4 linked regions of the Lytechinus pictus genome follow. The protein of the gene in region 4 purifies or fractionates together with the protein of the main gene of each other region. This does not show direct contact. Links are inferred from orthologs where the notes say so. Each region holds a gene or a part of one and is shown on either strand. Other genes may lie near its edges. The genes, in order: TATA element modulatory factor-like, protein regulator of cytokinesis 1-like, RANBP2-like and GRIP domain-containing protein 8 and serine/threonine-protein kinase PLK1-like.

What was found.
Region 1: the proteins of serine/threonine-protein kinase PLK1-like (region 4) and TATA element modulatory factor-like purify together in Homo sapiens (affinity purification with mass spectrometry; 5 studies listed by BioGRID and IntAct, counting the BioPlex papers as one, with this or other methods). This does not show direct contact. The link is inferred for Lytechinus pictus from reciprocal best matches to the Homo sapiens genes PLK1 and TMF1.
Region 2: the proteins of serine/threonine-protein kinase PLK1-like (region 4) and protein regulator of cytokinesis 1-like purify together in Homo sapiens (affinity purification with western blotting; 4 studies listed by BioGRID and IntAct, with this or other methods). This does not show direct contact. The link is inferred for Lytechinus pictus from reciprocal best matches to the Homo sapiens genes PLK1 and PRC1.
Region 3: the proteins of serine/threonine-protein kinase PLK1-like (region 4) and RANBP2-like and GRIP domain-containing protein 8 purify together in Homo sapiens (affinity purification with mass spectrometry; 3 studies listed by BioGRID and IntAct, with this or other methods). This does not show direct contact. The link is inferred for Lytechinus pictus from reciprocal best matches to the Homo sapiens genes PLK1 and RANBP2.

Annotation. Positions count from the first base shown.
Region 1 is NC_087254.1:37,089,850-37,097,812, forward strand, and holds the start of TATA element modulatory factor-like, read right to left. Parts: upstream 3,016-7,963; 5' UTR 2,662-3,015; coding exon 2,394-2,661; intron 1-2,393. UniProt on the Homo sapiens protein: Potential coactivator of the androgen receptor. Mediates STAT3 degradation. May play critical roles in two RAB6-dependent retrograde transport processes: one from endosomes to the Golgi and the other from the Golgi to the ER.
Region 2 is NC_087256.1:19,309,552-19,317,418, reverse strand, and holds the start of protein regulator of cytokinesis 1-like, read left to right. Parts: upstream 1-4,737; 5' UTR 4,738-4,902; coding exon 4,903-4,919; intron 4,920-6,938; coding exon 6,939-7,194; intron 7,195-7,728; coding exon 7,729-7,867. UniProt on the Homo sapiens protein: Key regulator of cytokinesis that cross-links antiparrallel microtubules at an average distance of 35 nM. Essential for controlling the spatiotemporal formation of the midzone and successful cytokinesis.
Region 3 is NC_087260.1:25,314,648-25,322,429, forward strand, and holds the start of RANBP2-like and GRIP domain-containing protein 8, read left to right. Parts: upstream 1-4,740; 5' UTR 4,741-4,862; coding exon 4,863-4,943; intron 4,944-7,782. UniProt on the Homo sapiens protein: E3 SUMO-protein ligase which facilitates SUMO1 and SUMO2 conjugation by UBE2I. Involved in transport factor (Ran-GTP, karyopherin)-mediated protein import via the F-G repeat-containing domain which acts as a docking site for substrates.
Region 4 is NC_087250.1:7,529,199-7,537,293, forward strand, and holds the start of serine/threonine-protein kinase PLK1-like, read left to right. Parts: upstream 1-4,883; 5' UTR 4,884-4,990; coding exon 4,991-5,095; intron 5,096-7,299; coding exon 7,300-7,407; intron 7,408-8,095. UniProt on the Homo sapiens protein: Serine/threonine-protein kinase that performs several important functions throughout M phase of the cell cycle, including the regulation of centrosome maturation and spindle assembly, the removal of cohesins from chromosome arms, the inactivation of anaphase-promoting complex/cyclosome (APC/C) inhibitors, and the regulation of mitotic exit and cytokinesis.

The sequences.
Region 1 (7,963 bases), on a different chromosome or scaffold from region 4:
CATTCTAACATTAGTCTACAATCATTAGGAGTCTGTCTGTCGCGTCGTCTGAAACCCGGCGGGGGGGGGGGGGGAATTTAGGATGTTTTATATGATCACACTCATCATAGTCAGCTACAGCTGAGCCTACGTACGCACCAGCAGATTGGCTGGCTGGATCGAGCGAACCTGGCTGACCCTGATCTGTTTGTCATAAAATTTCGCTATTTTCTAGCATATTTTTCGGAAAGCTGGTAAGCTATATTTATCTTTATTATTCTAACCCTAACCCTAACGCACCCTTTCTACATAGGCACTGTAGTTAAGCGGAAGTTGTTGTTTGCTCCAACATTACAAGCCCAATGGCAGTCATCGGTCTATTGACAGAGGGGATGCCGCGGTGCCAAACGAAGTCTCAGCGGAGCATATCTCTGACAGAAATAGACCTATTTATTGGTTTAGATGCGCATATATTTTCATTCATAAACTGGCTTCCAATCGTAGCTGTGTGATGTCATGTAATATGCCAACCCCTAGCGGTGGATGTTATGTTTAAGCCTGAGTCGAATCGATTTTAAAATCGGTGTTCGATCGATGTCATCGAGCGCCGGTGCAGATTTTGCAAAATCGGTGCATTGAAAAAAAAAAAAAAAAAAACGTCAATCGGCCGATTCGTGTGGTTCACACAATCAATCATCAAAAATCAAAATAACAGTAATGTCCTACATGTACTTGACTACTACTTACTTGATTTATATTGCCCCCAAAATGAAACCGATTGTGTAATTATGATGCCTACCGTATATTCACCATTAATTTGAAATTTATTTCGATCATAGTTTGAGTCTTATACTCGTCTGCTCTTGCCGAGATAATTTATGCACGATGAATTCATGAATGGAAGTCGCCATTGATCGTGCATGCGCAGTACTGTGCTTTAATCAAACCAGAAAATGGCCGGAAAATTGGCGCGATCAACGTAAAATAAATCTTGCTTTCATGAACAATATTAATATCATGACCATAGAACACAATTTAATCGTAATAATTAACAATAATTCGCATATGATAATCATTAATATGAATTTAGAGCTTGATGTGAAACGTTTTAATTTCCTATCAATTTCCAATGACGGACATCACATGACGATCGACTTGAGTCGTGCACTTGTCTAAAAAAATAATTATCACGTCAGGATTGATTCTCGAACATTGTCAACATGCAGATACTCTTTTCAAGATCGTAATATCACCATATAATAACATTTTACATGACAAAACAGAGAAAATTGCGTTTGATATTTTTCCCCATCAATTTGAAGCTATTTTGTGCCCAACTTTGGGCTCTGATTTCATGAATGGAAAATATGTCATACGTCATCGAACGCGCATGCGCATTGTGCTTCTTTTCTCGGAGCTCGAAGACGTCGTCCAGAGATGGAATAAAAATAAAGATAATGCCAGTATAATACTATTAATTCTTCCATATGAACATAACATACTTGCTGACATCGTCATTATTTTTAATATGGCCATAAAAATCTTATTAAATAAAATAGTAATTATTTAACATCCAATAATAATTTATATGAATTTAGAGCTCGATCCGAGACATTTGTATTTATTTTGATCGCATGCTCTTGTGTCTGACTTTAAAATGAAGAATGGATTATCAGGATTAATTCTCGAACATCGTCATAACTCATATTCCACAATATTTCCTCACAATCGTTATATCAGCATTGAATACCAATTCAAATGACCATCCAGAGAAAATTACGTATTTATTCCCATCAATTTATTTGGAACTCATTTTGGATCCAACTAGCCCGCCAACTACATAATCTCAGGAAAGTTACAGCGCTCTCCTCTGTTCGCACTTGTTTGCTGGCGCTGGCAAGCACGCCTGTCGTTTCGGGGAGAGTGGGTGTATGGGGCTGCGGACGGGGCTGGTGTGTGCGAGTCTGGACTGCGAGTGCTAGTCGACCGAAAATCATTCGGATCGACTCTGTGTGATTCATGCAACGCACGCGTCTGTAACGTTGGCGAAGAACAATAGGAAACAAGATGGCGGCGTAAACATCGGGCAAGTCTCTTCCGTTTTTTCACAATATTTTTCTCATTTTTTTTATTAATTCCTGTTTAAAAATAACAACGAGAGCGTAGAAATGTCGGAAATGAAGTTTTATCCCATGTACATGATTTAGTTTTAGGGCTAGATCTAGTTTTAGAAGGAAAGTAGAAATCTCGGGGTTGAAAGTTTCAGGTTTAATTTGGCGTCCAGCATGTCCAGCTTCGTCATTGAGTGGGACAATCCCAATTTTTGGACCAGCGCCTTACTGCGCACAAACAAACGTTGAATTTGCAGTTAATGGACTGCTGACTTATTTCACGATATTGCCAAAGATAATTACCTGAGCCTGAGGTAACTTGCTGCCCTGGGACTGGAGATGAGTATCCTTCCCCTGACAAACTCGCCGAAGCCGAGCCCGAGGCAATACCTGAAGTTGACAGCGATGGCTGTCGGTCAGTTCCCGCGGAGCTCCGGGCAGGCTGAGTGCCACTGCCGGTGTCACCGCCTTCCTCATCCTGAATGTCGAGAACTTTGTCAATGGATTTTTGCGCCGTCGACAATGCTGTTTTAGCAAAAGATGAGAGACTAGCTTGGTTAAACCAGCTCATGTTTCATCCCCAAGCCCCTTACTTCATTAATTGGAGTAATTTCCTCTGTTTTCGATGACTTTCCTTTATTTTTCTCGCTGTCGACACGTAAACATTGATTTTCGTGTGAACAATCTATTATATAAAGGGTCAGCCCGTTTCGAAGATCGATGAAGATTGGAAAAATAAAACATATTCAGAATAGCTAAGTTCATGTAATACTTTACTAGCTTGTCCAGCAATTATTATATATCATATTATTTGTTAATTATTGGTTTATAAACGCACAAGGAATAAATGAAAGTTCTCTTAATCCGTTTACTTTCCCTCATTTATACGTTAATATAATGTCCCTCAATCTAATGGATTCATCTTATCAAATTGACATTTTTCAAACGGATCAATTCAAAAAATATTGACAAAGAGTTTAAATATATGTTATATTTTATTTTGTTACTTTATGATGAATTCAATGAATTTCAATTAATTTTCAGATTGATTTTAGAGTACACAAATATATTTAATATATGATTATATTGCACAAATGCAGTCAAATCGGTTACATAGTTTTAGGGATAAGCTTGATGCCAATTTGAAATAAATGAAAAACCGGTTTAGTTTCTGAGAAGTGGTTCGTTTCATCACAGCGAAAAATCATTACCGAGAGGGCTTTTATTGTGTCATTCAATTATTTTTAACAATTATTCACAAGAATCAACCGAAGTAATACTGAATTATGACCTCGAGTAAAGATAATGCGCTACCTCTGCCAATATCTCTTTAATTGCTCTCCTCTCGCCAACCGTCCCCAGTGGCGCAATAGGTTAGCGCGCTGTACTTATAGACAGTACCCAGCACCGTCTGGCTACAACTGTGGGCATGCGGAGGTTGTGAGTTCAAACCTCACCTGGGGAAATCGGTTTTCTTTTGCATTTTTTTCTCAGTTTCAAAAATTGCCCCAGATACTAATTACATATCTTAAATGATGAATTCAGTCTCCAAAGCGATATAACAGTGTAGTCGGGTAGGTGAATTATCGGATAGTCTATACCACTTGGTGTATAGACTTACTTATCGAGTTCTGGACCAACATATGAATATTCATGACTTGCGTCTTCGGATTGAGAGTACGCATGCGCAGTGGACTTGGCCTCGACCAGTACCGATCGTAAGCATTCACGTTGCTCAGAATGAATTTACCCCATCTCACTAGGAAGGCGATCATAGCGACCATAGCGATCTGTGTAAATCCCGCAAATCGTAGCAGAATCTTCCTCGAATTCTATTTTTAGCCTGCGAGACGATTGCACTGCAACTTCTCTGCGACCGACCTGCGCTGAAGGCGATGGTAATACGCTGAAAGTACGACGATGCACTTTCTTGCGACGATTCGAGGCAGATGTGATGCGCTGCTTCTGCGATCAAAGCGATCGTACAACGAGTCTCATACGCTAATTAGGACCTCGGTACGGTGGTGCTACGAATGGAGCGATTATGTTACGTTCATGATGGGCTCTTGAAACGATTTCAAGTAATCGGCATATTAATCGCGGCACATGACACATTTTTCAGTCGACTGCCAACCTCCGACCAACATGGATGTCCAGAATTTGGTTGGACTTATACATCTTAGCATTCTACAACAACATCAGTTAAAAGTTGAATGCGAGGACAGGAGAAGGAGGAGGCCAAAAAGATACAGGGTCCGATCCTGGCTGTCACCTAAGTCATAATATACAATATTTATTAAATTTTCATTCAAAAGATGTCGATGAGCCAAATAGTTAATATGAGGGATGCATCCAGAATTTCATAAAAGAGCATAAAAATCTTTGATATTCTGTTTATTTTTTTTTCCACAAAAGTTTGTCACTCAAAAATATTTGGTAAATTCCTTTCAAATTTGCTGACAAGAAGTAGTCTACTGATGTGAGAGCACTCATAAAAAAGGGAGGGGGGAGGAGGGGGGGGGGCACAATGCCAGAATCTCCCTAAAGATTGCCTTTCCCAATCAATACATTAGTGATCGAATCATTAACAAATTTGATATTGTCTACTGTCACTGTGGTTAGAATTCAATCTAGTTTTAAAACATATAGTCAACTTATATATTTCTGCAGAGGTAACCCATTTCGTCATCAAGACATGTGAGCGTCTTTTTTTCTCTTTCCAGTTGGCTCAGCAGTAAGATTTTCATCCTCCTCCTGTACCCCCTCCTCCTCCTCTTCCTCCTCTACCTCCTCCTCCTCCTCTACCACCACCATAACCCCTTGTTCTTCCTCTTCGACCGCCGGCCTAAGAGGGGTAGCTTTGGCAGCTTTCCCTATTTTGGTCCTTTTTCTGGGAGGTATGTTTGAAAACGTCGTGGTGTCGCCTCGTAATCTGCTGCAAATATGATAATCTGCCACCATCGGCACGGCATTTTATAGCAGCGCGGACGGTCGTTGCGCAATCGCTGCCCAGTCATCAGCGGCGCAGCAAAAGCGCAACGCGAATGCCTGTAGCGGACTGAGAACGTGTGCCACATGCCACCCAAAGAAGAAAGCGTCGCGGTTGAAGCTGTGTGAAGCGTGTCGAGCGCAAGGCAGTCGCCTTGTAAACGGAAGCAGCGTAGCAGAATTGTCTTGGGAACGGGCCTGAAAACCACGGGCGATCGGTGCCGCTTTTAATGCGCTTATACTACGCTTTATGCGTTGGGGCTCCGTTACAGCTACGAATATGTCGTTTGTAATACGCTCATGACTCGATTGTGATGCGCTTTAGCACCTCCGTGATCTCGCTACGTAAGTTTTGAACATGTTCAAAATTTTGTGGCGTCCAGGAAGATGGTGGCGATCCTTGCCGCTTCAGAAAAGATGAAGGTACGACGGATAAGATTGAAAAGATCAAGCCACGATTAAGCTACGTTATTCCACGCTTTGTCGCTTTTTGACGATCGCAGTGGAATCGCCATCTAGTGAGATGGGGGTATAGTTACATAGGTCTTATAGGCTTAGATCTATATATATATATATATATATCCAATTCTTAAACACTTAATAAACTAGCTGCCATTAATGGCAAGACATGTGCAAGGGTAGGGCTAGCTTAGGCTAGCGCATTAACTTTACCTCAAATATGGACCTGTCTAATTAATGCCTAGTACTAATCAGTGTTGTAGTGCCTTGATGCACGGCCTTGGCCTTAAGGCGCCTTAATGCCTAGCTACTTATTATTTATTTATTTATTTATTTATTTTGTTTTATTTATTTTATACTGCAGGGTAGGCCTGTTCAGTTCTTAAAACTGCTTTACAAAGGCGCCCTGCAGTTTAAAATACATGTCAATATAACTATGAACAACTACAACAACAACAAACAACATCAAAAATACAAAATACAAAATATCTAACATCAGAAACAATTAACACCAAAATATAGAGTGGGAAGTGACAATTTAAACATACATAGCATTGTAAATCAATGGAATATTGCATTAAGTCTTATTTATTAAAGGAAACCTTCAATAACAAGCTTTGCTTTCCAGAAGGTTCCTATTTCATTTCAAAATGTTATATTATATTTTGCTTTACTTTGTAACTTTGTCGAAATTTTGGAATGAATAAATTCGTTGTCAATCAATCAATCAAATCAATATCATTTCGCTCTTTATCAATTCGTATGAAAGGCTTTGCATATTTTTTTAAAAACTAACAAGGAGGTACAAACTTGTAAATTTGAAGGAAGTGCATTAAATAATTTGGGTCCGACATATGCGAAAGATTTTCTTTTATGTTCAATTCTAGCTTTGGGAAGCTGAAGGGGGCACCGTAAAGAATACCGTGTCCTGTATTTCACGGGCCGTTTACATACTAAAGGTTTTAAATAATTTGGAACTAAATCATTCATCATTTTATATACAAGAACACAATTCTGATATTTTATACGCTGATCTACTGATTGCCACTTCAGTGACTGCAACAAAGAAATTTGTGATGTATTATAATCTTTTTTCAAAAGCATTCTGGCATATTTATTTTGAAGTTTTTGTATCTTATCTAAATGTATTTTTGCACTGCTTCCCCAAGATGTAATACAGTAATCAATGTAAGGTAAAATCATACACTCTTAAAAATGTTGGGCAACATACGGTCCACACAACAATTGGTTAAAACTTTATCCAATTCTGGGTAGTTTTACACCAATAATGTGTGCTTTGGGTGAAAACTACACAGTATTGGTGTAAAACTACCCAGAATTGGATAAAGTTTTAACCAATTGTTGTGTGGACCGTATGTTGCCCAACATTTTTAAGAGTGTAGAAAAGTACAGCTTCTTCATGATATCAAAGGACAGTAAGTGCTTAATCCGCCTTACACAACCTATTGCCCGAGATATTTTACAAACGATATTAGTAACATAGGCGGATCCAGCTTTTGGCGAAGGGGGGGGGGGCGCACTGCCGAGCGGCACACATATTTTTGCACTTCACCGGTGCCATAAAAGAAAATGTTAAAAAAGGGGTAAAGTCTGACCCTGTCAAATGCTCTTTTCAAAATGTAGGATTTCCAGTCATTTTGCATGACCACACGCAGATAATATTTCCGGGGGGGGGGGGGCAAGACTCGAAAATTTGGTGCACATCTCACATTTGCACATTTTTCATAGTTTTCATGAAATGTTAAGGAAAAAAAAATGTTTTTCACAACAGCAGATCGCGAATGTGCCCCCCTCCCCTCCTTCCCCCTTGCTGCGTACGACCATTCCCTGAAGTCCACTTAAACATATCTCATTATAACAGAAATATACATCAATTTAAACATATAATCTTTCTAAAACATATATAGCAGGGGCCGCGGAACGGTTTTCAAAGTGGGGGGGCTGAGCCAAAAGTGGGGGGGGGGGGCTGACCATGCTAAAAATCACAATAATATGGTTATTTTTACGTTTTTGTACACGGTTTTTGAAAAAAGTGGGGGGGCTGAAGCCCCCCCAGCCCCCCCGGTTCCGCGGCCCCTGTATAGAGAGAGATTGAAAAACTTATTAAAGAAAGAAACAAGCAAAAAGTAACAGAAATTATGCATGTTATGTGCGATTTCAAAATCTCGTGTATTAACCCTTTTATTGCGATGAGGCCAATACTTTTTTATATTAATAGAGATACAAGTTTTTTTAAAATATATATGTATCTATATATATACACAGGGGCGTCGATCCTTTTTTAAGATTTGGGGGGCAAAATCATGAATCAACTTTCCAAAGGCGCTCGATATCACACAAAACAAACAAACTCACACAAACACACACACATATGCATATATATATATATTTATATGACTCATGAG
Region 2 (7,867 bases), on a different chromosome or scaffold from region 4:
TTCACCCAAATTGACGTTTTTAAGAATTGCGCATTCAAAAGAATTTGGCATTTTTAGACCGCACAAGATTACTACAATGAGTTTAAACCTCTATTACTCAGTCAAAATACATGAAAAAGTCATCAAATTTCGCAAGAGAGTTAATAATTGTATCGTTAGAATGGATAATCTATTTATAGTGCTATTTGTTTGCAAATTTAAGTTTAACAGCACTGTCAGTTCTTAAAAATGGCGTAAAAGATAACAAAATCCCAATCTAAAAAATGTAAAATTTCAGTAACAAACTACAAACGTACAATAAATGCTGCACTTTATTCAAAATCCATGTCATTTTCACCAAAATTTGCAGAGTTGTAGAGGAAGGTATACCTTAGAGGTACAAACATTAAAAAATAGGGGTTCATGTGCTTGTTTTTAAACTATCAGCATTTTTATCAGAGCAAATGTGCTTTTTAAAACACCAAAAATGCGCCGAATGCTTTTATTTTTTTTTTTTTTTTATTTATTTCAAATATTTAAAAGAAGGGTAGCTCAATCAGCAACAAGCTGGTTTTCGTTGAGGCCCTTCGTGAACAAACACAAATATAAAACATGGTAACATATTCAATTATAAACAAAGAATAGAGCATAAATACTAATATTGAAAAAAAAAATGAAATGAAATAAGCATAATTAACTATGGAAAATAACAGAACAAATAAAATATGATACTGTACAGATGTTACCTAAAACTAAACGAAAACATTATATACACATGAAAAGAGATAAAATATGTACAAAATGAGGAGAAAGAATAAAATAGATTCCACCATTAGTCCCTATTACATATTAAAGGTTTTTTCCCATTTAGCCATTTCCCGTTTGAACTGTTTAATGTTTTCTATGAATCGGAGGTGTTCGGGTAGTTTATTCCAATGTAATGGGCCTGTGACAAAAAATGATTTCTGATAAAAGGTTGTACGAGCATATGGCACCCTGATTATCATCTTATTTGTGCTTCTAGTTGTTCGGGAGGATATTTTCTCTATATAAATAAACTTATCACAAAGCACCTGGGGAGCAGCTTCGTGTAAACATTTATGAACCATTAAGCGAGATGCTCTAAAAAAGACATTGCGTATTTTGGGCCAGGATAATATTTTGAAAATTTGTTCAGATGGAGTTTCCCAAGAGAAGTTAGATACCATGTATGCTGCCCTCTTATGTAATCTCTCTAACTTACTGTGATTAATTTCAGATCTTTCCGACCAGACGGTACAGCAATACATTATATGGGGCATTACAAAAGCCCAATACAGCTTATTCAATTGTGCTTTATCAAAATACTGTTTACAGCGGCGAATAGTTCCTAGTTTTTGTTTTACAATTAAAGATATGCTGTCAACGTGTTTTTTAAAGTCGAGATTGTTATCTATGATAACTCCTAAACATTTATATTCATTTACACATTCCAATTGACATCCATTTAACACTATCGATAGCATAGTATCTATGTGAAGAAAAAATCAAAACCACTCTACCATTTATTCAAACTCGGGGTAATATTCGTGATTCTTGGCAGCCCTGCAGAGTAAAGTATTTTGAAATTGTAGAGAATATTTTTTTGAATGGTCCATGGAATAATTCAATTTTTTATCTTCATGAAATAACGCATCGGATCTGCAGTTAAAGTGCAGAAGATGAGAAAAATCAGCTCATACCCGCAGCTAATTAATCACCTGTTCATCCATTGTGACGTCAGCGCGCAGAGTGTAAACTATGCGCAGATCATAATGCGCACAAACATAACTGTGGAACGTCCTTAATGCAGTTTTTAAAAAGTTCCTTTTCTGGTCAGTTTATTAAATTCTTTAGTTAGATTCACATCCTTTTTTCATGATTACACAAACTGCTCGGATGTTTTACATAAAATTTCCAAAAGTTTAAGCTCGTGATTCGCGCTCGCAGCATCTCGCAAGGATGCCCTTTAGGTAAGTAATTAGGTCCACAATTGACCACAAAAAAATTCACCCACATTTTCCCCGATCAGCCGCTCAAAGTTGATTTTAATTTGTTTCTTTAAAGGGGGTAGTCCTAATAGTCACCTCTTAGCTATATTCTTATAAAACTACATAAATATATCTAATATGATTTTTTTTGGCAATTTCATGTATTTTGTCCTGAAAATTGAACATTCTGGACAATGTTTGTGATTCTGAACAAGATATGTATATAATTACTGCGAGCCTGATCGAAAAAGGACTATTTGCAGTTAGCCATGAAGACGATGCATATTTCAACAATCAAATAATGCGAGCGCGAAGCGCGAGCTGAATTTTGTTGACATTCGACCTAAAGAACGGACATTCTAAGCACTTTTGGCAGTCGTAAACAGGATAGGTATATAACTAAACATTGCGAGCGCGAAGCGCGAGCGGAAAAAAATGAGATTTGGACCTAAAAACGGGCCACTCTATTCATGTTTTATGAATCATGAAAAGGATGTGTTAATTGGGTAATGATCTTCCCTCATTAATAATGCGCGTGCGAAGCGTGAGCAGGATTTTTTTTGATATTTTGATATGAAACTGGGTAATTTAAGCATGTTTTAAATAAAGAACCAGCTGCGTATCTCAATAAACATGCGTTCGCGTGTTGTAGATTTAGACCTAGAATCTGGGCATTTTGAATACATTTTTTATCATGAAAATATTTGATATATCCGATATTTCTTTCTGAAAAAGGGACAATTTAATTATGAATTAATGAAAATGTTATTATCTTATTCCTTGATCTAATAAGCCCAATGAAAGCGCGAAATCTGATGACATTAAGGCCTAAAAACTGGACATTTTAAGCACTTTTGTAATTATGAACATGATGCATGGTTTAATATATTTTTAACAATTAATGCGAGCGCAAATCGCGAGCCGAAATTTTTGAAAAACTCTCATGAAAATAGGATTTTAAGTATAGTTTGTTATAAAATTACTACAGATGTATACAATATACGCATGCACCAATCAAAATGCGAGCACGCAGCGCTAGCTGGTTTTGACAATCAAACCTTAAAAGGGCTATTTTTTATAACTTCATGGAATACATGAAGTGAATAGGTACTTGGCAAACCAAATAGTGCTAGCGCACAGCGCGAGCTGAAAAAGTTGATACTCAGACAATAAAACGGACATTTTACAGAGCACTTTTTGAAAATCAATTTGTAAAAAAAAAATGAAAGGTCGATGTCCGAGCTGAAATATGTTTTATATATTGACTTCAAAACTTGATATTTTAAACTCCATACCAGCCTATAGTATTGAGCAAGGTATGTACCGTGTGTCTCATCGAGCATGCAATGACAACGCGAAGCGCGAGCGAAAATTTTATATAGTGACAATGAAAGATTTTTTTTTTTTTTTTCAAGTTTCCCCCTCACATTATTTTATTTACTCGCCTTCCTCCTCTTTTTTTTTCATTTCTTTTTTTTCTCCTCTCTTTTCCCTTCTTTCTCTTTTCTTTTTCTTTCTTTCCCCTTTTTTTTGCTCCGCAAAGTTTGTGAATATTTGGGAGCCAGCGCCTCTGAAGTTTTTTTTTTTTTTTTTTTTTTTTTACAGATAAATGGCACTATATGGTATATGCAAATGCTGTTAAACATCATCACCATCATCAAATCAATTTTGTACAGCAAACTGTGAAAACACCACTAATAAAATTATGTTTGGTAAAGTGACCGGATAATTATCATTTGAGATATGAAATTTTACTTTGTCAGCTCGACACGTACACTTGTGTATACATGTATATAGACAAAAGTTGTTTGTTGTTGCTGTTATTTGTTTTATTGTTACGAAACAGTTACTTTACGCGCCACAGTGAGTAAGAGATGAAAAAAGAGGAAAAATAAGAGGAAAAAAGGCAAAGAAAAGAGAAGAAATAATAAGATAAAAATGAGAGTAAATGTAATTCTATAATAAAAATTAATAATACCCCTACATCTCAACAAAAAAATCATGATGTCATATTTAAGCCACTTTGCCCCCTCCTCCAATAAAAATATCCAAAATATGAGAAATAAAACATAAATGTAAAATAAATCGCATTATATACCGGAGGGTCTCAAAATAATAATTAAGATAGATAGACCCGTTGGACCATGGCCAATATTAATAATGTCATCTATAAATAATATTAAACCTCGCTTTTGTTCTCATAAAAATTGTTATTTTTTATACTTTCATCAGTTTATCAGAAATTTCCAAATCATGCTAAAATTGTTGTTCAAGAATGGGGGTTGGATTGGGGTTTGATCCGGGGCAGTGGCGTACCTAGAATTTTTCACAGGGGGGGTAAAATTGGCCGCCCAAAAATTTGACAAGCAAAAAAAAAAAAAAAAAAAAAAAAAAAAAAAGGGGTCATCAATACAAAATAAAGATTTTCGTACCAGAAAAAATTTGACAAGCAAAAAAAAAAAAAAAAAAAAAAAAAAAAAAAAAAAAAAAAGGGGTCATCAATACAAAATAAAGATTTTCGTACCAGAAAAAATTTGACAAGCAAAAAAAAAAAAAAAGAAAAAAAAAGGTCTTCAAAATCTCGTCAGGGGGGGCAGAGTGCCCCCCCTGCCCCCCCCGTAGGTACGCTAGTGATCCGGGGTTTGATTTCTTTCTGATAAGTAGTTTACATCAATGAGGCCCATTTCAAATTCGATGACAGATCGTGACAGACATCGTTTGGAGTCTAGCGCCATCTCGTGAACTAACTGTGTCAATTTTTCATTTTGACCAATAGACGGGCTTCTTGTTTGCGAGCTTTTCAAAATTTAAAGCACGTCGCGAATCTACATGGAACTGGAAGTGTGTATTGATTGTGAAACAGCTGATTTATAAACGTCATAAACTGTGATACACATTGAAATATTTATCAAATATGGAAGCAAAACGGAGGTATGATTTATTTATCTATTTATATTACAAATTGATCGGCCAAAACTTAATTGGACTTGGAGTGTTTATTTTTTTCCAGTGTTGACGTTGTGTGCAGTGCCGTGAGTGACAGTGCGAGTGTGTGCATGCATGCCATTGCGTTGTGCACTGTGTCTGTGACTGTGTTGCGAATTGCCTAGACTGTAGTAGTGTAACGTTAGACAGCTGGCAGCCGTCTATTTCGAGGAGTTTTTTAACATTTTTATTTTTTGTAAATTTGTCCTCGACCTCGTACACAGACGGCTCGCTATCGTGCAGCCACCATTAGGGGGTTAACATAAAAATGCAAAATCCCCCCGACGGGCAGACGGGGCTCATCGATTTTTGTCTTTAATTAAAGTTTAAAATATTTCATAAAAATATATAACCTATACTACCCAGTGGTTGTGTGTCCGGACGGGTTGGGTGTCCGGACACATGACTTTTACTCTCAATTTTGAAAAGCTTACAAGCAATGTCTTTAATTCTTTTTAGCACAGAATATTAGAAAATATTATAAAGAACAAATATTGATGGTGAAAAAAAACTATTCAACCTATATTTTTGGTTTATTCTTGAGATAAAAACAAGGCTTCATTTCTGTTACGTGTCCGGACACCCAACCCCCCATCCTACCGTAAATAATTAAAAAGAACTGTACCAAAAAGGGCAAAATAGAAAATAAACTTAAAAGGGAAAAAACAGTGACTTACTTCGACTGTCGCGCAACTTCACTTCCCTGTTTTATCCAAACTTAATATATTTATAAACATATGGCCATTGTCATTGAGTCCCTGTACACATGACATGGGATGGGCGGAAATCCCAGGTAGGTATATAGTGAGACCACCACATATCGAGTCTCGACCACCTGACAAACAGATCATCAGGATCAGCCAGGTTCTTCTTTGATCGCAGTCAGCACAGCTACAGCTGAGCGTATGATTATAATGAATCTGCCAGCCAATCTGCTGGCACGTCCACACGCTCAGCTGTAGCTGACGGCGATCGAAGCAGAACCTGGCTGATCCCGATCTGTTTGCTATCAAAATTCGCTATTTCCCATCCCAGCACATTTTTCAGAAAGGTGATAAGCTGATTGTATAAATGTTTTTATCAAATAAGAAATTAAAAATTATCTAAAGGGTTCCTCTAAGTACAAATTCTGTTCAAATTTGATAAATTTCATCCTATTCAATTTGATGGACAAAATTGTAAAAGTTGGAACTTCTAGATAATACATGAGATACAAACAATAAACTTTAAATGAACAACAAATTCAATAATAATTTAACAATAAATAACAATGGAGAAAAAAAATAGCAATTAGATCTAAATAAAAATGTTAAACATTAAATGAACTTGTAAACAAGCAGGACAAACTGCGATGCGAAACCATGCAGGAATAAAATAAAACTTGAAAAAGTATTCTGCTCATTTTGACAAAATGATTATTGAAAACTTATCTTCTTTTCACAAAATGCTAGGCAATAAAGTTATTTTGGAACCACAAGAAAAATAAGGTGATGTTCATATTATGCTAGCATCTTGGGTTTTTTCATGGAAAGCAGTTGCATGATCATTTGGCAGATCGGCAAGCCAGACATTTGAAACCATGATGTGTTTAACATAAATATGAGTTTTTGTAGTTACTATATTTCCTGATGGGCTATTTTGTCTTGATAAGATTGCTATTTCACTTTGAAAACATTATTTCATGCATTGTTTGAACTTTGAAAATATGTCAGATAAGTATAGGACTTCAAATACCGGTAGTCAATATACATGAATACAGTTGCCCAGCTCATGCATGTAACAATAGCTCATATTTTGTCGCTTGACACCAACACCTAAAGTTTAATATCGAACTTGAAATCGCCCAGAATGCTTGTTGCTGTTGCTTATGTTGTTCCAACACAAAATCCTTCCTCTTCTCCCCTTTTCCTCTTTCCTTCTTCCTCTCCTCTTTTTTTTTATTTTCCCTATTCTTTTCTAACATAGGGAGAGCATGAAGATGGAGATAGGCCAGTGTTTAGAGCACGCCCTAGACAAACTGAGAGATATCTGGAATGAGATCGGTATTTGTGAGGACCAGAGGGTAGAACGCCAGAATGTTGTTCTGCATCACATCCGTAACCTGCTATCAGAGATGGTGACAGAGGAGGAATCCCTCAGGCAAAGACTCATGAAGAGTGTGGCATCATCAACAGAGAAGGTCCACACGCTTTGTATAGAATTGGCACTTCAGCAATATGAGGTAAAAAATATTTATTAACTGATGAAATGGTATAGCAAGTTAGCAACACAAATGTGAGTCTGATTTTAGTTTTATTTGCTAGATTGATTTGAAAGTGGTATGATTCTTTTTTATGATTCTTTTTTATTAATTTCATTTTCATGATATGATCATTCAACAAAATCTTCATTTTATCACAATGAGATAGTGTAATGAAAATGTTACTCTTCCTTTGAGAAGTCTAACATTGTTCGTACATTATTCAAGGTAAATGAGTGACATAATCGACTAAATTGTCTTCCATGTTACATGTATTCAGATCACTGATTAAAATAATGGAACTGAAATTGAAAAGATGTAATAAACATTGAACAATCAATTCCTAAGTAATTTTTTTTTTCATTGTTGTGCACTTATTCTTTTTTGTCTTTAATTTTCAATGTCATATAAGAATGGACATAGCCTTTGAGACTTCCTAACACTACCAGTAAATCGATTTTTATTACCAAGATTGTTTTTTTGTCACTTTTGTTAATCTTGGTTTCTCTCCTTCAGCCCGAGAGCGGGATCTCCATCCTGCAGCTGGAGAAAGCATTGAGACTCCAGGTGGAGCAGCTGAGCAAGGAGAAATCAGATAGACTGGGTTCCCTGGAGGGCCTGCAGACGGTTGAACAGAACCTCTGCGACACCCTTT
Region 3 (7,782 bases), on a different chromosome or scaffold from region 4:
TCAAAATATGAGTCTGTGCATACAGACTAACCAGCAGGGCCCAGGGACTGATTTTTATTTTGACGAGGAGCTGATATAAATTTGAAAAGCAGAAAAAAAAGTTTTCACTGCAAAGTAGAGGTAATTTTGGTCCCGAGAAATTTGAAAAGCAAAGAAGGTTTTCACTTCAAAATGTATAAAAGATGAAGGTGATTTTTGTTACATATATCCCTTTTTTCACACCTTTGAGAGTTCAAGGGTGCTGCCGATGGACGCAGCACCCCCGCTTCCCAGGGCCATGATAACGAGTAAACATCATTATAGAATTAAAGTTTGTAGATCCTAGTTAGTTTAAAAGTGGAAGTGAAAGTTGTTAGGAAACACATAAAGATTTTCTTATCCCGAACATTTTTACATGGATATCAATATTGAAATTGGCATTTTAGCGAAGTTAGATTCAGTTAGATTTAAGTTGAATTAAGAATGCTCGTCTTATTGATTGTCCTGGTTATATTCTCTTAATCTTGTGTTTTTCTCTAATTTTTAAAGAATTTATTGGATGAGGTTAAATATTCAAAATCGACTACGGTAATTCAGTCAACCTTTTTTTTACTCTGCATGGCAGTCCAGTGGATGTATTTTTTTTTTGGGGGGGGATGATAATGATAATGAGACAAAATACATAGTTATTTAAAACACACATGTCCGCATTGCAAACACACTCAAACACACCCACACATATGCACACACACACATTCGCCAGCAGTGTATCTTTGATTGGCCATGGGTGCATGGGGTGAAAAATTTAGGGGGCCCGAATTTCTGTCTAAATGTTAGTGACATCCCCTCTCCCAAAAAAATAATAATAAATAGATAAACAAAAAAATCTCCTCTCACGAGGAGCATTTTATCCGTACAAGATTTTCAGACAAATAAGAAAAGTCTTTCACAACCATGCAAAATGTCGCAGTTTATGTGCAACTTTCATACTAATCTCTGATCGAATATGTTTTATTTTCTTTCCAGCCATGTTATAATTAGACTCCCTTTTTGGATATTTTGACGAGCACCCTCATTCAATACCCCCCCCCCCCTCCCGCGTATGTTATACAAAAAAAGTTTATTGATATAAAATCCTGACATTGAAGGATCATCATCAAAAACAAAGAAACATAAGAAAAAAATTAATACAACATAAGCATAACATAGTAACAAAGTATTCATAGCAAAACAAAAAACAACAACAAAGAAAAAAAAGAAACAAAAAATACCAATCTTCGATGAAATGTTAAATGCGAGATACATATCAATGCATAAATATACACACACATACATAATATACCTAAACATTAATACACCCATATACAATAAGCATAGTATCATCTTTTTTCTTTCAAGCATCCTTAGTTTCTCCACTTATATGACTTATTCCTTTAACACATATTTTGCTAATATCCATGTCAGTGGCGGACCCTGACCCGGAGGAGACAAAGCATTGGAGGGGCACAGCATTGTTCACAAACAATACAGTGCCCCTCCAATACTTTGTCTCCTCCGGGTCAGGGTCCGCCACTGATCCATGTCATTGCTACCTAATATCAATTGGAATTTGTTTTGTTAGTTATTTTCATAAAATCCGGCAGTACCTCCTTTCATAGGCGGCGGAAGTGGGGGGACGTGTACCCCCCCCCCTAAATTTGAGGTGGGGGCGGTCCCCCCCCCCCTCCCTAAATTTTTCGTTGATGATTTTTTTTTTTTTTTTTTTTGCTTGTCAAAATTTTTTGTCGGTCCCCCCTAAAATTTTGGTTGATATATAACTTTTTTTTTTTTGCTTGTCAAAAATTTTTGGTGGTCCCCCCTAAATTGTTTGGCTTCCGCCGCCAATGCCTCCTTTAGCTTGTTTAACTTGGTATTGTTGTATCCAGTAGTGGTTTGATGGGTGCCTATTTTAGCCTATTATAAAAATAAAATATAAGCCTAGTTGAGTAGGTTTTTCTCTCTCTTTATTCCGGGGGGGGGGGGGCATGGGTGATGAGCTGGGTCATTGAGTAGTAGTTGGTACTATAAGTATAATGTAAAGATATTTTTTTAAACAAGTGCACACCAAGTTACCAACAATGCATATAGCATTTCTATTTATTTGAAAGCAGGATAGAAGAGCATTGTACATTAAATGCCTTGCTCACGGGCATAGGTGCCGCGGCCGGGGATCGAACCCCGGACTTTCTATGTATAACCAGGAGCCTGAGACCACTCGGCCACGGCACCATGACGTGAAAATATGAAGAAAGGATAAGTTCCCGAACCTCACCCCCTCGATCTTCCATGGCCCTCTCTGGAACTGAGCGAACGGTGCCGGGAGTGCTTCGTACGTGTTATAGGGAGCAGTGACCCCTGGAAATTTGTTAGGCATGCAGCTATGTAATCAAAATCACCTCTATTTTGTAATGATTTTTTTTCTTTTTTGCTTGTCAAACTTTTCCTGGATCACTAGACCTGCTGAGCTCACCTTCATTTTGTAGCGAAATTTCTCGTGATCGACCATGCAAAATGGCATGGCCCTTGGAAGCGGGGGTGCTGGGGATGCCGCTAAAACATAACTTCCTCAGGGGTGCTGCGTGTATTATTTTCCATAGGCTTGGCCCCAAAGTGTTCTGGAAGCTGTGTAAAAATTGAGAAATGTCACCTAAATGACTTTCATTTTTTATTGAAACCTTTTTTTTTCTTCTTTAATTGCTTTTGAAATTTCTCGGGACCAATTTGACCTCTCTTTTGTGGTGAATTCCTTTTCTGTTCTTCTTTTTTTCCCTGCTTCTCTAATCTCGGGACCAATTTGCTCTCCATTATGTATTCAAAACCTTTTTTTTTTTGCTTATAAAATGATTTACACACCAGCACCCCAGTAAAAAAAAATTAAAAATCATTCCAAATGGCCTTCATTTTATAATGAGAACCCCTTTTGGAACTAGTCAAAGCTTATCCTGCACCCCCTGTTTAAAAAAAAAAAAATCGTTTTTAGGGCCATAGGCGGCGGAAGCGGGGGGGGGGGCGGGAGGGACATGTCCCCCCTAAAATTTTAGTTGATAACCTTTTTTTTTTTTTTTTTTTTGTTTGTCAAATTTTGTTGTTGGTCCCCCCCCCTAAAATTTTGGTTGATAACCTTCTTTTTTGTTTGCTTGTCAAAAAATGTGCTGGTCCCCCCTAATTTTTGGGGCTTCCGCCGCCATTGTCTAGGGCCCTGCCCTCTCCACAGAGGTGTGCCACTCGATCCCCTCCAGTGGCGTAGCTACGGGGGGCCTGGGGGGGCACGTGCCCCCCCCCCTGAGATTTGGTGTGCCCCCCAGGTGCCCCCCCTGAAAAAATTGGCAGAGCAAAAAAAAGGGGGAGAAAGAAGAAAAGAAAAAAGGAAAAGAAGAAGAAAGACAGAAGAAAAAAAGAAAAGGAAAATAAAAAGGAGGAAGACGAGTGAATGAAATAATGTGAAGGGAAGACTTGCAAAAAAAAAAAAAAATCTTTCATGTTACTATATAAAACTTTTGCTTACGCTTCGCGCCAGAATTGCCTGTTCGATGAGATTCATATCTTGCTCAATAGGCTGATATGGAGCAAGTTTTGAAGTCAATATACATGTACAAAATATATTTTAGCTCGGACATCGAGCTTTCATCAATTTTTTTTCATGAACAAATTTAAGTGCTCTAGCTGTAAAATGTCCCTGTTTTAGTCTACATATCAGCATTTTTTAGCTCACGCTGCGTGGTCAAATTGTTTGATTTGCCAAGTTCCTATTGTCTACGTGTATTCCATAATGTTCCATTAAACAAAATGTATTCAGACTGCCCAGATTCTAGGTCTAAATCTAAATCATGTGCGATAGCCTGCATGTTCTTTATATTAAATGTACTTAAATTATCCAGTTTCACATCAGAATATCAATAATTGTATGCTCACGCTTCACGATCGCATTAAATAATGATACCCAATTAACTACATCCTATTTATGATTTACAAAATATGAATAGAGTGTCCCGCTTTTAGGTCTAAAATCTAATTTTTCTTCCTCTCGCGCTTCGTGCTCGCATCAATTGTTTAGTTACATACCTATCCCATTTATTAATACAAAAAGTGCTTAGAATGACCACTTTTTATGTCGGAATGTCAAAAAAATTTGCTCGCGCTTCGCGCTCGCATTATTGAAATATATACCGTCTTCGTGGGTAACTGTAAGCAGTCCTTAACAGGTCCCTTTTCGATAATGCTAGAACAGTTAATAAAAATTTCTGCTCGCGCTTGGCGTTCGATCGCAGTAACCATCTAGTTACATACGAATCTTGTTCACGGATCACACATAACATTGCCCAGAATCATTTTCAGGACGAAATACATGAAAGTAACACCAAAAAAAATCGCTCGCGCTTCGCGCTTGCACTTTTTATAAGGCTTATGAGATTATTTCATGTTTATGTTCTTTTATAAAAATAAAACTAAGTGACTGATCGGGGGAAATATAGGTGAAGATAATTTCGGGCCCCGTCCCCTATTGGCCAAAGTCGGATCCGCCCTTGTGACACATACACACACAACGGAAAAAATGGTGCCCCCCTGAAAAAGCAAGGACCCCCCAGTGCCCCCCCCCCCCTGGGAAAAATCCTAGCTACGCCACTGATCCCCTCCCCTGGGCCTTTCATCTCACGGTGAATTATGAAGTTTCGGCAGCTACTCGCAGAATTAACCGTCTGATTTGAATTAATTCTTAAAGATACCATAACATTTAAGATTGAAGCGCACCGGTTTGAAAAGGTCACATCCGCCGTTTGGTTTCTTTTCAAATGTGAAATTTTACAGCGATTATATCGTTTTATTGTCGCATCTAATCAACAGATATGTCTCGAACATATCGCAGCAAACATGAGGCTGACGAATTTGCCGAATCTGTAAAGAAAAGAGCAAAAAATTCACAAGAGGTAAGAGGGTATTCGCGTTATTTCATCATAACGTGATTTTGTATTGTAATTGAAAATGGTAGTCCCATTCATGTATTTTCATGTTTGTGTGCAAGATGCCAGTTACATCTGAGTCTGAGAAAGATCCACCCACGGCACGGGTACATTACCGCCGCCGTGCACAGGATAACCACTGGCACGGCACTTGCAATAAGTTTATTAATTTTTTTCTAAAAATTTGAAATAGATAGGGCCTACCTATTTAAAATAAGATAAGCTTTGAAGTTTGGATATGAAACCAAACGATATGAAGCCAATTTCATTTCCTCTCTGACTCTGTCTTTCTGGTACTAGGCACTTCAGTCGGGCGGGCGACCACGCGGACACAGCGCTAGACGTAGATTTTTGCATTGCAGTGAATGGCGAGCGCCTATCTAACACACACAGTTCGCTCCGCTCGGCACTTTGGCCGAGCGCTGGAGTTGCATTCGGCATTGCTCGAAAAGACAGAGTCAGTTTCTTCCTTTATTCCGCTGATTTTGATTGGTCAAAAATTCCCGCGGTTGCTTCGTACATCTTCGGTAAACATCGGAAATATACAAGACGGAGTCTAACTTACCTTCATGCGAGGGAAGGACCTAATATTCAGGTATTTATTTTTCTTTGCTTGAAATCACCTTGTAATCATCGGATCCCTTGTAAACTCGGTCAGTAATAAAATTGTATATTTGAGAACATTTTGTGAAATTCTAATCAAATTGAGCTTCAGTTTTGAGTGTCATGAGGTGTTTGTGAATCTGACTCGGCCGATCGAGCAGGGTTGTTTTGAGCGTATACGAACAGCTGTGAGTGACGTCATCCCCACTGCGTTGGGCCTGAGATTAGTCTTGGTATTCAGACACAGTATGTTTCAGCCGTTGTATATTTTTTTAAATTACGATTTGAGCTCTGTTAATTATGAAAATCAAATTGTTATTTTGAAAATAATTTTGTAGAATTCGTGTGAAATAAGTATTAAGAGCAAAACTGCAAGTAAACTTCAAGAATTTTGTTTGATATGTGATTTTTTGTTGGAATGCGTCTGAATGTCTAGAATATGGTATTGTTAATGAAAGTCGTATTTTTGAATGGCACAGAAAGCTCCTTGCATGAATTTAATTTAGAAATAGGTTTACATACATGAGATGTGTTTCATGAATTTGATATCTGATTTATGGACCTTTGTTATGGTGTTAATTATTAATTTGAAGATATTATGAAAAAGTAAGAGAAGACAATAATGAGGCAATTAACAGTGATGATGAGACATTAATAATATGAGACAATAAACATTGAGACAATTATAATAATTATTATGATTATAATAATAACAATTATAATTATAATGATAATAATTATAATTGTAATAATTATTGAGACATCAATTCTAGTATTTATTGACAATAATAATTATTACAGTAATCATTATTATAATAAAATAATTGTAATAACAATTATAATGATGTACTTTGAATTGTAATAATTACTGAGACAATAATATTAATGAGATATCAATAATAATCATTATAATAATAATCATTATAATTAAAATAAATATAATTGTAGAAACAATTATAATTATAGTAATTATAATTATAGGCCTTATAATTAATGAGACAATAATAACTATTATTACAATAATACTAATTATTATAAAATAATTATGATAACAATTATAATGAAAGTAATTATAATTGTAATAATTACTGAGACAGTAATATTGAAAGGTCATCAATAATTATTATTATAAAAATTATTATGATTATAAAAATAATCATAATTATAATTAAAGGCCTTATAATTATTGAGACAAATAACTATTATTACAATAATTATAAAATAATTATAATGATAATAATTATAATGAAAGTAATTGTACTTGTAATAATTACTGAGACAGTAATATTGATAAGTCATCAATAATTATTATTATAAAAATTATTATAATTATAATTATAATCATAAAAATAATAATTATAATTATAGGCCTTATAATTATTGAGACTAATAATTATTTCAATAATAATTATTATTATGAAATAATTAAACAATAATTACTATGATAGTAATTATAATTGTAATAATTATTTAGAAAATAATATTAATGAAACAAAAATAATTATAATAATAATTATTATAATTATAATACTAATTGGGACAATAATGAAACGATGATGAGACAATAATAATATCAACAATTTTATTGAGACCATAATAACAAGACAATAATGAGATAATAGACAATTGAAATCAATCTGTTTTTATTTTTTTCTAGAAATCCTAAGATTATTATTTTAATTCTCTTTCTTTGATTACAAATTATATTCATTGAAAACTTAATTTCTAATGTTCAAGCAAAGAAAATCAATATCAAGTCATGTTTACCCTGTGCACAAACCTACCACAGGGCAATTACCCCCGAAATAGGGTTAGGTTAGGTGTAGATTTTTGGATAGGGGTAAAGTGTAGTTGTCCGGGGGGGGGGGGTAATTGTCCAGGGTGGGTGGGGGTGGGGGGAGGGAAATTGTCCGAGGGTGGGGGGGGTGGGGGGTTATCGTCCAGGGGTAGTTGCCCTTGAACCAAAGAAATCATATGCCAATATGTCAAATCAATCTGAGTACTTTAAGATTTAAATAAAAAGCTTGTACAATTCCCCATAAGCTATGTATTATAAATGTGCCATGCCCAAAACAAAGAGAATAATAAGATTTCGCAATCTTCTTTTGTCCACAAAAAGGCCTGTTTTTTCATCACAAAGATGACAATAACTCGACTTCTAGATATCGGAATTTGAAAATTCAAACAGTTTTGTGAATCGTAG
Region 4 (8,095 bases):
ATTTTATACACGAGGAGGAATTGTAGTGAACTAGTTCGCTATTTTTCTAATCTTTATATATACAAGAGACGGAATTGTAGCGAACTAGTTCGCTACAATTCCCCCTCGTGTATATAATTTTATAGAGGAGATCCGAAAAGTAGCGAACTAGTTCGCTATTTTTCTGATCTTTATATATACAAGAGACGGAATTGTAGCGAACGAGTTCGCTACAATTCCCCCTCGTGTATATAATTTTATAGAGGAGATCCGAAAAGTAGCGAACTAGTTCGCTACAAAGCCCGTCGTATGGATATAGAGGAGATCTGGAAAATAGCGAACTAGTCTGCTACAATTTGACAATATGGCATCAATATATACAGCCAAAACCTGCAGATTTTCACTTTGAAGCCTTCACAATAATGTAAGCTTTGGAAAAAATGACAACTAGTTCGCTACAATTTCCCCCTCGTGTATATGAAGAGATCAGAAAAATTGCCATCTAGTTCGCTACAGTTTGCCATGTTTATATTTTAGAGAGGAGATGAGAAATGGCGAACAAGTTTGCAACAATTTCCTGTCGTATACATGTAGAGGAGATCCGAAAAATAGCGAACTACATGTAGTTTGCTACAATTCCCCCCTGGTGTATATATAGAGGAGATCCAAAAAAATAGCGAACTAGTTCGCTACAATGCCCCCTCATATATAGTTCGCTACAAATCCCGTCGTATGTATATAGAGGAGATCTGGAAAAATAAAAAAATAGCGAACTAGTTCGCTACAATTCCCCCTCGTGTACATATCGAGGAGATCCGAAAAATAGCGAACTAGTTCGCTACAAATCCCGTAGTATGTATATAGAGGAGATCTGGAAAATAGCGAACTAGTTCGCTACAATTCCCCTCGTGTATATATCGAGGAGATCCGAAAAATAGCGAACTAGTTCGCTACAATTTCCCGTCGTTTGTATATAGAGGAGATCTGGAAAATAGCGAACTAGTTCGCTACAATTCCCCCTCGTATATATATATATATATATATAGAGGAGATCTGGAAATAGCGAACTAGTTCGCTACAATTTGACACGTCGTATATTATAGACTAATACAAGGAGATGGCTACAAATTTCGACGCTTATATATAAGCGTTGAAGATCGCTATATTTGCCATCTTATTATTTCCCTTACGCTTGAATTTGAATTTAAGACTTACGCTTGATTTGCAATTGAACATAAGTTTCTTGCAGTGCCCCATAATTATGTTTTGTTATCAGATATTTAACGTGCTGATTTTTCTCGAAAGGTATAATATATTTGTCCTTTTAAACGGTATTTGAATATGGGTACGCCTTTTATTTGTTTTCCACAATATTTATTGCATGTATGAACAGAAGTGAAATATTTATTGTGAAGCACTGTGAATGTTGTGTGATGGTTCATCATTTTTGTTATAAGACTGAAAGCCTGGTGGATGTGAGGAAGTGGCCTGGATGAAAGAAAAGTGAACATGTGTCCAATTACTGATTTGCATATTCTAAGACAATTTTGTTTCTGGATAAATTTTGCTATGCATTCCCTACATTAAGAGTAAAGGAGAAGTCCACGCAATCAAAAATTCATTTGAATTTAAAGAAAAATAACAAGATATTGCAGGAAATTTCATAAAAACTTTGATTCAAATTTATATAATTACTATTTTAACAGTTCCGTAAATATAACCTATTGTGATCAGATGAAGAGTTTCTATCGTCAAATCTGCAAAGAATAAAAAACAAAATGCCACAAAAATAGAAACGAATGTGATGTGAGTGACAACTCTAATTTGCATATCATTGTTTTGTGTATATGACTGTTTTGAGTAAAAACAACAAGGGAAATTACTCTATTCAAATAATTTTTAGTTGATGTGGACTTGACTTTTAACTCTACCCCTCCCATCCCAAATAAGAGTAGAAATAATCTAATCAAGAACTTGAAAATCAAAAGCAGCAATTAAGAAGCAAGATATGATAAATACAGGTCTGAATAGAATTTCACAAGAAAATAAAAAGAGAAAAAAAAAATGGGTAGGGACAGGGAAGGAATAAAAAAAAAATACCCAGAAAAAAAAAACGAGTTTCGAACCAGGGTCCTCGCACATGACAAAACAATGGCCAACGCATTTGGCCACAGACCATCTCCCTAACAGGAAGGCATTTTTAAGATATATAAAAGAAAGTCCGCTCGCCGCTGTTTCCTAATAATGCTTCGGCAATTCAACTGCAATTTCAGTCATTTCGCGATGGATATTGCCGTGTTTTTTTTTGTGGTTCCTGACTTTGCTACTTAATGAAATTTCATAATTTTTGTTCAGTCATAAAGAAGAATGTCTATGCTTTATATTGACTATAACATTAATGTGACGCAAGTGTGATTTCTACGTGAAAATATGCTTTGTTTATTCACATATATTTCTTGAAAAAAAAAAAAATTCTAAGCTAAATATCGGTTACCAAAATACGTTAAATGTGCACTTTTTTTCACTGTTCAGTAAATTCAAACTTTTATCTATATAACAAGACCAATCTTAAGAGGAATAAACAATTCTAAGAGCAAAAAACGCTGATTGGAAAGATCGTCTCCAATGGGCTGCTGTCAGCTCAGCTGCACACTGCTCATTGTGTGACGTCACTCAGCTGGAGCTCGCAAGAGGACCGGTGGAAGGCAGAAATATGGCATGAAAATAAATCATTTTTGAGAGCTGATTTCTGCAATCTCTGATCACTATTTTGAAAAGTGAAGTTATATATCTGATTAGTAATACTTCCCCTTTACAATGATGACCACATAAAGTCATTATAAAATACTTTTGATTCTTTGGATGTATACTTTAAGAAAATGGGAATGTTGGGAGGAGTTTAGGGAGAGCTAAATGTGCCAAAAACAAAAACAAAATGAAAATAAATGAATAAAATAAATTAATTAATTAAAAGTATAAAATGAATAAATGATAAATAAGTTAAAAATAAAATAAGAATAAATAACGTGTGTATAAATTATATAATAACGATAATGAATAAAGTATTTTTTCAATGAATGCTTAGGCATGAGAGTATTTTTCATTAATATATATATGTACATATATATTTTTTTTTTCATTCTTACCATTCAGAGAAGGAAAACGTTTTTTCCGCCCCCACACGAGTAGAACGGGAAGGTTGTGACGACGAAGGGCATGGGAGGGGGGTTATGGGGAGGGGTAGAGGGTAGGGCCTGAGGCTGATGTTGTTATAGGATATGAAATATATGAGGAATGAGGCCAAGGTGTGGGGAGGGGGGTTATGGAAAATCCTTGTTAATGGCTTTAATTCGACTAGGTTGTATTAATGATTGGTTTTGTGTATTTGGAAAATCTGTTACGTTGTGAATATTTTGACACAAGAAAAAAAATCGAGTACGTTGAGTTTTATTAGGTTTTATTGTAACACTAAAGGAAAAAAGAGAAAATTTAAAGTGTATATGAGTTTACAATGTATTCATATATTAATTTGTAAAGATATATTGTATTTGATGTATGTATTTTATTTTGTATATGACATGTATGAATTGAAGTTGTTGACAAATAAAAACTTCTTAATACAAAAAAAAAACCACCACTCGAATAAGAAGACTGTCGTTATATTGTAAATATCATCCGCTAACGTAGAACTAGAAAACAAAATCGGTTAGCTCTAGTGCAACGAGCCACGAGTCTGATAGTGATACACAAAAAATTGTATCTTCGGCGACGTGCATGAAATATGTTTTTATTACGACTGGTACCGAAGTCTATAGTCTGACCATTGATTGATTGGTTGAGCGTGAGCGCGCGCGTCACAGTATGGGTCAAAAAGTTGTTTTTCTTCGCTAGATAATCGTCCATTCGTCCTGTTGTCCAATTCAGAATTCCTTGGAGAATCTTTCATTTGCAGTTGTGTGATATTAAAATTAGGAAACTGAATATGGTGATAGCGAACCTGTGAAGATCGTTTCAATTACCATCTTGCGAATAACGTCCTTTAGTGTGTATAGTCCGTACGTACATGCACAGGATATACGTCCTTAACCGACCAATCAGAGAATGGCTAACGTGCTGTCTTTAACGGGACGTTAGCGAGCCGTCTGTGTACGAGGAGAAATAAAAAAAATAAAAAAAGTTAAAAAACTCCTCGAAACAGACGGCTGCCAGCTGTCTATAGGATACACTGCCATACTGACACTACTGATTACTGTGTCTGTACATGTCCATCTACGATACACACAGAGACACTGCACTCACGCACTGCCACTGGCATCCAATCCTACTCCACAACCACACACTACGACTACGTCAGACTCTGACCGCGCTGACATTTACTACTCTTCTTGGGGGCAACAGAACAAGGAGAACATCAGAATACCTGATACTCATATTATTCAATGTCATACATGTTTCATACCTTCACTCCAAGCTTTATTTCTCGGGTCAAAAGACAATTTCTGTCGCCGTCGCGGCTCCGCAAGCATCGCCATCTTGTCGGTGCACGTGGATCAACTAAAAATATGTAAATAAATCTAGCTTCTTTATCAGACTGTCTGAATAATAGAAAAATAATTATTATTTGTTTTTTTAATTGTTTTTTATTATAAATGGTATCAAATAAGAACAGATATATTTATCAATCGTAATTATGAAATTCCTTTATACTTTACAAAGAAATATACATAAATAAATATTTAGAAAATGACCCTAAATGCCTTGTACCATATTTAAATTTATGAACAACTCGGTTTAAATGTCCGTACCTTCGTCCAATCAGAGCAGAGTATTTGCGAAAGCGGAGATCTTCATCGGCCAATGAACGACCACTATTCATTGAATACCGGCCCGCTGTTTTTAAATGCACAAAAGATCGTCAGAAACAGGCGATCGCAGCTGACTTGATCGACGCATTGAAATTGTCTGCAGTTTTTTGGACAAATTTTGAAATATTTTGGCTTAAAATATTAAGATGGCGTCAAGACATAAGGAAGATCTCAGAGTAAAGGAAGTTCCTGATGTTGTTACAGATCCATCAACTGGAAAAACATACACAAAAGGAAGATTTTTGGGCAAGGTAACTCGTGAGCTTTTTTTTTTTCATTTTCAGTTAGTGTTGAGTCGTGTTGCCTGTTGAGCTGTGTGTGTGTGAATAGTAAAGTGACCTGCAGCTGCACTGCACTGTGCACAGCCACAGTGCCAGTGGAGTGTGAGGTTTTGCGTCATTTGAATGGAGTCAGGAAATTGTGTTGAAATTTAATGGATTATCAAAATAGTGGAGGTATCAGTTAAAAGAGAAGAAAGAGAGGGGGCACATATCTGCGTACCGCAAGGTTAAACGAAATAAAAAGTTAGTTAACCCGAGTGAAATGAGGCAAAAATTAACATTTATTTTAGAAAACTCCACAAAAATTTTGGTTGATATACTTTTTTAAACCAGGCCAAGACAAGTTTATAATTAAACTTGTTACTGTTAGGGGGATTGGAATTTGGAACAACTCAACCTCGCCTCCGCCTCCAAAACGGGGCTGAGCTGGATCTCATTCTCAGTTTCTCACCTGTTTCGTGAAGACGTGATTTTTTTCTTCATAATTTTGTGTTCATTTATCTTCATTACGATATTTCTTGAAAGTTGAAACAATTGTTCAAGCAAGGAATCAGCCGGATCATCCGCCCGGATGGTACTGTAATTCTTTCTATCTTGACTAACTTTGTTAGAATGTTCAGTATTAGAAGGTCTGTTTTCATTGAAATAACAAAACAAGATCTAGAAATAGAATCATACTGTTTTTTTGCAAAAAAATATTAGAATTGGAACAAATTATGATTTTCTTGCAAAAAAATGTGGAAAGTCATTTTCAGATTAAACTAAAAAAAAAAGTGATCAATGCCCAAATATGAGACCATGATCATGACTTATACATCACACTACATAATTAGCATGTTAGATTTCGATCAATTAAGATTTTATTCACTCTATCGACCCCCTCTCGGGTACTATGAGGTATGACTATGAGAGTACAGCATATGGATATTATGGGTCAATTCATATCAAATCAACAAATTTTCAGACAATTTGTCACCCGACCCCCTCCGATCTTCAAACTTGTGCCAGGAGTAGCTGCTCCTCTGTGACTTATTCCATCACAAAATTGAAACTTTAAATAAAAAATTGTAAAGAATGCTTTGGTTGATTTTCATGAAAGCCTCACCAATATTTCTTTTTTTCAAATGATTGTCAGGGTGAACTTCCCTTTTTAAAAGTGATCTACATCACATGTATCTAACAAGACAAACAACCCACCTGGCCACTTCCATTAACTAGTGGATTTTATAGGCAAAAAACTTCTCTTTTGTAACTCATGTCATCAGTCGTTCAGCTGATATTTTCAAAATAAATCCCCTGTCCATAGCCCAAGTACAACACATTAAACAACACATACCTAAATGTTCTTTTATAGTTATACATTTTGGCTTACAATAGTTACATGTAATTTGCCGAAATTCCCCCCACCGCATGCGGAGTAGGCCTTGGAATTATAGGTCTTTAGAACCACAGGTCCATGGTGGAACATAAGGGGGGGGGGATATTTTACAACTGTTGAGTTCCTAGATTTATATTTCTCCCTCATTGTCAATGTGGGCCACAGTGTAAAGATGTTAACTTGCCCAATGCCCCAATCCATACCCTACTAAAAATACCCCAAAAAAAATAATAGATGTGTTCTGAGGAAAATCCATCAAAGATTAAGAAAGTCATTATATTTTTTTTTTATTTGTGACATATGATCTCAGCTGCCCCAATACAAAATACATAAATTTCAATTTTTTTAACGGTTCATGATGACTTCAACTTCTTTTTTTTTTTTTTCTTTCAGAAGCAGGTGTTAAATGATTTGTATGTTGATATACTAAAGGACTCTAATCAGGGGTGTGAGAGTTCAGATTTTTATCTGATTTTAGATTTTTTTTTTTTTTTTTGATTTTCAGCTTAATTTCAGCTTATTTTTTGCCTTCCTCTGTACAAAAAGTATGGGAGCTCTTTCTATTTCAGACTTTTTCAATACTCTTCAGCTTTTTTCAGATCTTTTTATTTGTGACCACTCACACCCCTGTCTAATTTAAACCATTTTCAATTCTTTTAAGAAAATGACATTTCATTGATTTTTTTTACTACAAGATGTACATGTACAGTGTAGGCTAAGATAGCTGTTACCCCTTTCAAATGCACCTGTGGCTGTACTGAGCCATTACATTATTTTTTTCTTTGTGTCTATACAGGGTGGTTTCGCTAAGTGTTATGAGCTGACTGATGATGCCTCCAAACAGATCTACGCTGGCAAGGTCGTCTCGAAAGCCCTTCTTGTCAAACCTCACCAAAAAGACAAGGTACTATATATCATGTTACACTTTTTTTTTACACAGGGATTACCGGTAAATGCTGATTCTTGCTGAAGTAGCTTTTTTTTTTTTTTTTTGGATTTTGTGTTTATTGAATCGACAATATTTTTGAAATGTACATAAAATTGAATACAATTCGACACAAACAACCATGGAAAAAATAGGGGAAAAAAAGGAAAAAGAAAAAATGCTATATGGTTAGCAGGTTATTCCCTTCAAATTTGGTAGCAAGTCATTCCCTGGTTTGTATAAACTTCATGTTATTTGTCAGATTCAGATATAACTTAGCATTTATACCTAATATACTGTCTTTATTTCTCTTTCAAAAAAAAGAGAGAAATAATAGACAGCATTTAGGAATTTGGGGGTAAAATTGGAGTTGCATGTACCTGTACTGTATTTAACACTGACTATGGTATGTGTGCATTCCTGCACCCTGTATACAGCAGGGCCCCGTCTTACAAAGAGTTACGATTGATCTAATCAATCGTAACTCTATGGAAATCCATCAGTGTCATAATTTTTTCTACAGGAAAGGTGCACAATGTCCTTTGTAAACAAAGAGAAGCATAATGAATTTTCAAGACAACGATGAATCAGAATGCATGAATATACATCATAGTAAGAAAATATTCTGAACAAACATGCATTATAGACGTTGACATTGCTGGCAGTC